Linked DNA regions of Caenorhabditis elegans. The protein of the gene in region 1 interacts with the protein of each later gene in a pairwise test. Each region holds a gene or a part of one and is shown on either strand. Other genes may lie near its edges.

Region 1 (3,931 bases):
TTATAGAAAAGAGCTTAAAATAAGAATAGATTTAAATTTCCAATAATTTTGTGAAAAGTCTTCAACACTTTGCCCAGTTATTTTTACTGTAAGGGAGATTCTAAAGTACTGCCAAGAAGTTGCGAATTTCACTATTCGTTTTTTTTTGAATTTATCAGGGTACTGTATAAAACTGTCAGAAGCTTTTAGACGATAAATTTTGGTAAGAAGTTGCAAAAGTAGTTGCAACCAAATATTGAGATAAACCCGAGTCGGCATCACTTTTGTAAGTTTATGACATTACTCATCCACATTCTTTCTGATAGTAACTGGGAAACTTTTAAGAAATTATTTACAGGATATTTTCTACTTATTTGAAATGAAAATTCGTGACTTTTGCGCTAACCAGACCTGGTCTGGGAGAACCGATTTTTCTAAAACCATCCTATCTGAATTATGACAAATATAATTGCTCTACCAGAACCCCAGTTTATACTTTATTCAAACTTAATTTATACTTATCAATTGGCATTTTCGCCGATTCAATTTCAAACAAGTTTGGCTAAAAGAGAGCAAGATGACAGAAGTATGTGAGTTTGATGTGGGCAGAGGAACAGGTGATTTTTTGAAAAAAGAGGAAAGATGGAAATAGAAAATGCCGTACGAAAAAAGTTAATTCACATTCTTCGTTTTTCGGAAATCCAAAACCTGAATTACATTCACACGGAGGCTCGTTTCTTTCGGTGTCTTCTGCTTCTGACAACACAGAGTCTCCTTGACAACGATTCGTGGCTCAAATGGAGTGAGAATTCGAAGAAAAGGTAGTAGAAGGGAATAGAAAGAGGAAAGGGATTCAGAAAAAATTGTTCGAAGAATTGTTCTGTCTTAAATTAACGGGGGAAAACAGGATCTGTTTACACGCTACAATGAGAAGTTTTGTAGAATTATGTACATTCTGAAAGCAATAGAAATACAATTTTGAAATCAAGTGCTCGTGAAAAAGGAATATTCCAGATTAAATACAAATACAAAAATAAAAATCTAAAGTATTCAAGTCAGGGAATTTTCGTACAAAACATGACAGTCCAATTTTTTCCTGGGAAGGAATAACAACATTTAAAGAGCGAATTGAAAATGAGAAAAATAATTGAAATTTTTTAGAAAAAGACTTTAAAAAAAGTGTGGTGCGTCAGAAAATCTTCAGATCAATTTCCCAAAAACCGAACTTAGGTACAAGAAAAAGCTAGAAAAAAAGGGTTAAAATTCAGCTATGTGCAATTTTTTTTTGAATTTTGGCAACTTTCAAAATTATCATACATTTTTTAAAAAGGAGTCAAATTTATATTTTGTGAAAAATTCGATTTTTTGCCGAATAAAAATTCTGAATGATTTTTTTTCCATGACACATCTAGTTTCAAACAATGTTAGCTTGTCTGATCTTCTTTTTTGAAATGAGACATATTTTTACGCATGTTAACCTCGAAATTATTAAAACTTTAAAAAAAGGAGCGGAAATGATTTTTCAAACTCCGCACAAGGTAAGATATAAGGCACAAACCAGTCGGAACTACAAAATTAACAAATTTTATATGGAAGAAAATTTTAACTTTTTGTTTTTATTTTTAACGTTTGACAGATAATATTTGCGAAAATCTGGTTAGAACAGAATTTTGGTAGCAGCTGACATTTTCTTAGATTATATTTCACTAATTTTAAATATATATTTGCAATTATTTACTGATTGTGAGAACTTTCAAGTTGATTTAGAACAAGTAAAAAAAATTAAGAACTTCTAGACTGTAGGCATGCAAGTTTTTTAACGTCATTCTTACTCATCTCAGTTTGGAAACCCCTTCTCTGATCATACTAAATAATTTATTTGAGATTGTTAGCAACAAAAAAGTCCCTAAAGTGATGACTATTGTGATTCATAATTATATAAATGTTCAATATATCACGCGTTACCCTATGATCTCATGAAAATGATCAGAGGGTAAATATGATTTATTCAAAAACAATGAAATATAATGTTAATTGGAGAGGTAAAGTTTGAGCCGGGAAGGTATAAATATAAAGTTGAGAGTAATCATTTTCTGATGAAAGATTTTTACTATCAGTTTGGACCATAACTTTCTACGGATTCCAGAACAATGCGACGAATCACTTGCTGCTTTCCGGTAATTAATCGTTTTGTGGAAAAATAATTATTGAACATTAGGATTATTATTCAAAAATACTGCCCCTTTGCTTGACAATTTTTGAAACAATTTTCAAGTATAAAACATATAAAACATCCTAAAGAGCTTATGAAACATATTTAATAATACTACAGATAAAAATTCACCGAAGACAACCACCTAGTCCACCATCAACTATCACATTGAGCAGTTATGAGTACAGTTCACTCGCTGTCGGAATCATTTCCGATTTGAAAGAAGAGGGTTGTGATACATTACTTGTCAAGCTTCAGAAGGTTTTCATCAACACTTCCATTATACTTTCATAGATTTTTCTCAGGATGCCAATCGGAAAATCGGAATGGGAGTCGGGGTAAGAGATCGTGGAATCCTCATAACCACTGTAGTACCTGGATCGGTTGCCGCTGAGAAATTGAAAGTTGGAGATCGTATTTTGGCGGTCAATGGACGTCCAATTTTGGATCAGGTAAGAATGATACAACAAATAGGAGACACAATAAAATTATCCAAAAACTGACTGAAATTGAAAAAATTTTCTAAGGGGGAAATTTGTGCAAGATGCGAGCAAGACTAACTAGTTTATATTTATAACAAACATTTAGATATCCGATATCTATATTTGTCACTTACTTCAGCGCTCGGTGGTGAAATCGGTCAAAGCATCTGGTCAACGACTGTATCTTCAAATCGCCCGTCCTCACAAGGTACATAAATAATGGTCCCTATATTTTAATTATTGCGCTACGAACAGTTTCTTTTTATCTTCTAATTATTTGAAATCGTATATTTCTTCCCAAAAATTATTTTCCAAAAGGCTAATTTCAGCAAAAAGCCTCAACCAACCTCATCAACTTTTTTTGGCATTACCAAAGTTTCTAAAATTTGTTGAAGTTTGCTGCAAGAAATTGATAAGATACAATAATTATTTCCCCAACGAACCCTTTATCTGTACCAAAATTCAAATCTCGCATTGTAACGGAATGCACTTACTTACTGTTGTAGATTTTATCCGTCAAAAAATCTATTTTGCTAGCAATTTCACCTCCTCACACACGCTATAACATTTTTTTTCCTGACTAACCTCAACAGTTTTATTGTAACGATCTTAAAAAATTATTGAACTTCCTGGTGGGAGGTTACTCGACTAATTGGAATATTTATGAAATATTAAAAAAAAACAATAAACACAAGAAAAACAGTTTATTATATACTATTCATGCGTGGGAAATTATCCAAAAATAAAACAATGAAAGATCCAAAATAAGGACTAAAAGATAGAACACTAAACTTAAGGAAATAATATCACCGCATACTTTGCAAATGGGTGTAAAACGACTAGATATTCAGCATGTTTGGAACGAATTGAATAGTTTTCAAAAAAAAAAACGGTAAAACTTCAAAAAGAAAAACATTTCAAAAAAGTACCCTGCAGAGTTTGACAGAAGAGGCGAGACATAATTGACTGCCTACAAAATGCATAAAATTGCTCGCCTATATTTCAAAAAAAAAAATTCAAAAAAAATTAAGAAAAAAATATGGAAACCTGAGTTGTGTTGAAAGTTGGGGGAGAGGATTCGAATCAAGAAAAAAACAAGGAAATAATTTTAAGGGGGAAGCGGTACGAATAACATTGAGCACTTTTGAAGGTAGGAATGCTAGAATATTATTAGAAGTTCGTCAGAAAATGAACGACGAATATGAAGGGAAAGAGTGTAAAACCCGGAAATCGAAACGAATTGAGTGTTTGATCACCT
Region 2 (3,931 bases), on another chromosome or scaffold:
ACCACAACAAAAATTTTCTAATATAAAATATAATTTTTATTTAATTATTTCTATTTGTAGGGCTCGAGACATGTGACATTGCTTTGGATTTCCTCAAAAGCTCATTTGTTTTTTAATATTTTGGCAATTTGCCAAAACTTTGACCGGAAATTATGAAAAATCGAGAAATTTTTGGAGTGTTTTACTATGATATTTCGTCGTTTTGGATCATTATAAGTGCATTTAGACAAAATCTCCACTGGCGCCACTCCACCTTTAAAAATGTTTTTTTTCATTTCGCATAATGTACATTGTGCTATCTTCCAATTTTTCAAGATTACCTTCAGGTTTGGAAGATTCAATAGTCTAACTGTGTTTCTCAGAAAATAAATATTGGAACAACCTATAGAGGTTAGATTAACAAGTCCCAAGTTTATCATATTGTGGTTGTCGCCCCACATAAACTGTGGCTGGAAAAAAATTTTGGTAATACATCGAGAAAAATCCAGTACCTCTATTATATCAACAGGCGGTTTAAGTCGACTTTTCGTGCTACACTCCACCGATTCCAGTGAAGCTAGGAACGTGCCACTTTTGAAGTCTGTCGACATTACTGCCAAGCTTCCAATTAAATGTTTCATATTTTGAAATGCATGGGATAGCTGATATTCGGACAAATTGGATCTTTCATCAATTAGGATATCTGCGCAAACAGTGCTGCAATTTGTTGGAAATAGATCCAGATTATAACTAGCGAGAGAAGATTCCGGAAAAATGCAATGCGGCTCTAAAAGATGTTTGTTTTAAGTTGGATTTATCTACACACTTATTTCAATTTCAATTATTCAGAACTCACCACAATTCTCCTCCAAAAATTTCATATAATGGTTCATTCCACCAAATACATCTAATTTATTGGAGTCCGAAACGAGTGATAACTTTAGAAAAATTAGTGAAATCAGTATTTTCATTTCAAAACTAGAAGCGAGCAAAGGAAATTTGAAAACGAAAGATGTATGAGCCAGAGGGAAACAGGTGAAAAAGTAATTTTATGGCATTTTGTGATTAGCTGAACAAAAAATAATAATTTCGATTTTGTGAGAACTTTATGGAAACGAAATTAGAAATTTTTCTAGTTTTAAGGACAGCTGTAAAAATTTTCATGTAGTTAGGGACCAATCAGCGCTGCGCAAAGGGCGTGGCCAATTTTTTTTAATTGGTCGGAGGTGTTTTAAAGGTGGACTACACTTGTTGGGGAAATTGCTTTAAAACATGATTATGGGATAACAATGACCGAATATCTTGATTAAAAAATTCAAAAAATTTGTCTAGTTTTTTAAAAATGATTTTTGGGAAATTGGAAAAATCTCAGTGATCCCCTAATTCCAATTCGAATTATCGCCAATTGAATTCGTTCGATGGAGCGCGCTTGCATTATTTTCATTCATTTTTTCTCATTATCTCTCTGATTTTCTTCACTTTTCGGGATTTTTTAATTGGAAAATGAAAGAAATGACAGAAAAAGTGAAACAATGAGAATGAATAAAATGAATCACGGTGGTTCAGTTGCTAGTTGGGTGCAAACGCGCTCCACCGAACAAACTTGCATAACTTGGCCAGGAAGTACAAAATCGAAAATTCATCACAAATAAAGATAGATAATTTCATTGCGGTCATTTCTTATATGCATAGCAAAACCGATTTTGTGATGGTTTTCGAGATAGTAGCCAATATAGGTTTCCAGACTGAGTATCATGAACCAATCCATCTAGTTTCTGTGCTACCATGGAATAAATAAAAATATTGCAAGCGCGCTCCATCGAACAAATTCAATTGGCGGTAATCCAAATAGGAATTAAGGGAAAACTGAGATTTTCCCAATTTTCAAAAAATCATATAAAATCTAGAAAAATGTTTTGAATTTTTTTATCATAATATTCGGTCATTGTGACCCCATAGGCGTGTTTTTAAGCAATTTCCCCACAGAGTGTAGCCCACCTTTTATCATTGCAGACGTTTTTTTCCATGAGTTTTTTTTGCAAAATATCAAAGTATCAAAAAATCAAAGTGGGTCAAAAATCAAATCAAAAATTATTTTTTAAAGTTTTTCTTTATAATCAAGTACTCACTTATCTGCTACAAAAAGCACACCATCTAGTCTGAAAAATCATCAATTTTCCTTAATAGTTTGTGCTCCGAAGGGTGTAACCCAACAAATCAACCTTACAAACTCCGCTTATCACACCTGACAGGCTGATAATATTTTTACATAAATAGATCAATGACTAGGAGAATGTGTATCTGGAAACAAGCTGGAAATCATGTTTCGTTTAGTGGTAGCTCTTTCGATTCTACAATTAGTCGCTGGGCAATGTGCCCATTATGAGGACAAGTTGATTGGAGATCTGTAAGTTTTTCTTAAGTTACATTTTGGAAAAAAAAAAGATTTAATTCTTAAATTTTCAAATTTTCAGATGTTACTCATTTTACACTGAAACCCGGAATTTCGACGGAGCCGAACGAGCTTGCTCGGGGAACAACCAAAATTTGGCAGTACTTCACAATACTCTACAAACTAACTTCTTAGCATGTGAGTTTTGAGGACACAAGTAGGCATAGGTAGGGCTGGAATAGCTCGGTCGGTAGTGGTGGGGACTGGAAGCCTAGATGTCAAGAGTTCAAGTCCTTCAATACACAACTGTATGATTGACCACAGTCCCCGGCCCAAACGTGGCCTGAACCAAAAGCCCAGTGTGAATACCGTACCTGGCTCCTAGATTCACATAGCGCTTGAGGAACTTAGCCTTTTATATTCTTTCCAAATACTTTAATTCCTTTTACAGCAATCGTTCGTAGCCAAACTGGCGCAACAAAGTTTTGGATCGGTTTAAGCCGTGCAACTCCGAGCTCTAGATTCCAATGGGACGACGGAACCACAATGTATTGGAGCAACTTCAATATGAATCATGCGAAGGATAACAATTATGTTGCCGAACATACGACTGACGGAAAATGGCAGACAATTGGCAAGCACCACGAGCTTCCTTTTGTATGCAGTTATGATCCGAAAAACTTTACTCGTGAGTAGAAGGTTTTTTCTGAAATAAGACAATCAGAGAGTTTTAGCAATTCCATCTGGTTCCGGGTCCACACCTGATTTCACAAATGGCCCAGCTTCGGGAGCCACTGACGAGCCGATCTCCGACGCTACCGGAGCCTATTCCACTGACTTGCCATTTTCTGATTCCCCAACTGGAGCTTCCGATCTACCATTCTTTGGATCTTCGGGAGCTACTGATTTCCCAGTCTCGGGTGGTCCATCTGATTCACCAATTTATCCAGCTTCGGGAGCCACTGACGAGCCGATCTCCGACGCTACCGGAGTCGCAAGTTCCGATGGACCATTGGCCTACTCCACCGACTTGCCATTCTCCGATTCTCCAACTGGAGCTTCCGATATGCCATTTTTTGGAACTTCTGACTACCCAGTCTCGGGTGGTCCATTTGGCACCCCAGATTTCCCAGTTTCGGACGGCCCATCTGGATCATCTGATTATCCAGTCTCCGCAGGTTTCTAATGATTTTACTGAATAAAGTTTCAAGCATTAATCACTCGTTTGTACAAGCTCAATGGACTCGAATTTTGTCGGCTGCACATTTTTTAACATGGAAACAAAACTGCTAGAAGTTCAGTCTAATTTCCTGATTAGAAATAGTGAAAAATCAGTAATGATGAAAGTTTTTAGACGTAACTCTTATCTAAATTGCGTGATAAGGAGGTTATCCAAATTGATGTTTGCATGACGGGAAACTACTGATTCGTCACTTTTCAGATTACAAAAAAAATCAAAAGTTGGGAAATGAAATAAAATTTAAATCAATGATCACTTTGTGAACATGATAAAGAGGCCAGAAATGTTTCCAGATTTTTTTTCAGAGCGTGAATCGAAGG

Evidence for each region.
Region 2: the proteins of C52A11.3 (region 1) and clec-209 interact in a two-hybrid assay, tested with the Caenorhabditis elegans proteins (one large-scale study listed by BioGRID).

What each region holds. Positions count from the first base shown.
Region 1 is NC_003280.10:10,735,273-10,739,203, forward strand, and holds C52A11.3 (PDZ domain-containing protein C52A11.3), read left to right. Parts: upstream 1-2,086; 5' UTR 2,087-2,129; coding exon 2,130-2,156; intron 2,157-2,311; coding exon 2,312-2,452; intron 2,453-2,496; coding exon 2,497-2,643; intron 2,644-2,812; coding exon 2,813-2,893; 3' UTR 2,894-3,356; downstream 3,357-3,931.
Region 2 is NC_003283.11:2,349,376-2,353,306, forward strand, and holds clec-209 (C-type lectin domain-containing protein), read left to right. Parts: upstream 1-2,300; coding exon 2,301-2,386; intron 2,387-2,453; coding exon 2,454-2,569; intron 2,570-2,822; coding exon 2,823-3,059; intron 3,060-3,105; coding exon 3,106-3,557; downstream 3,558-3,931. Other genes in the region: irld-53 (Receptor L-domain domain-containing protein), read right to left, coding at 321-449, 492-766, 836-950.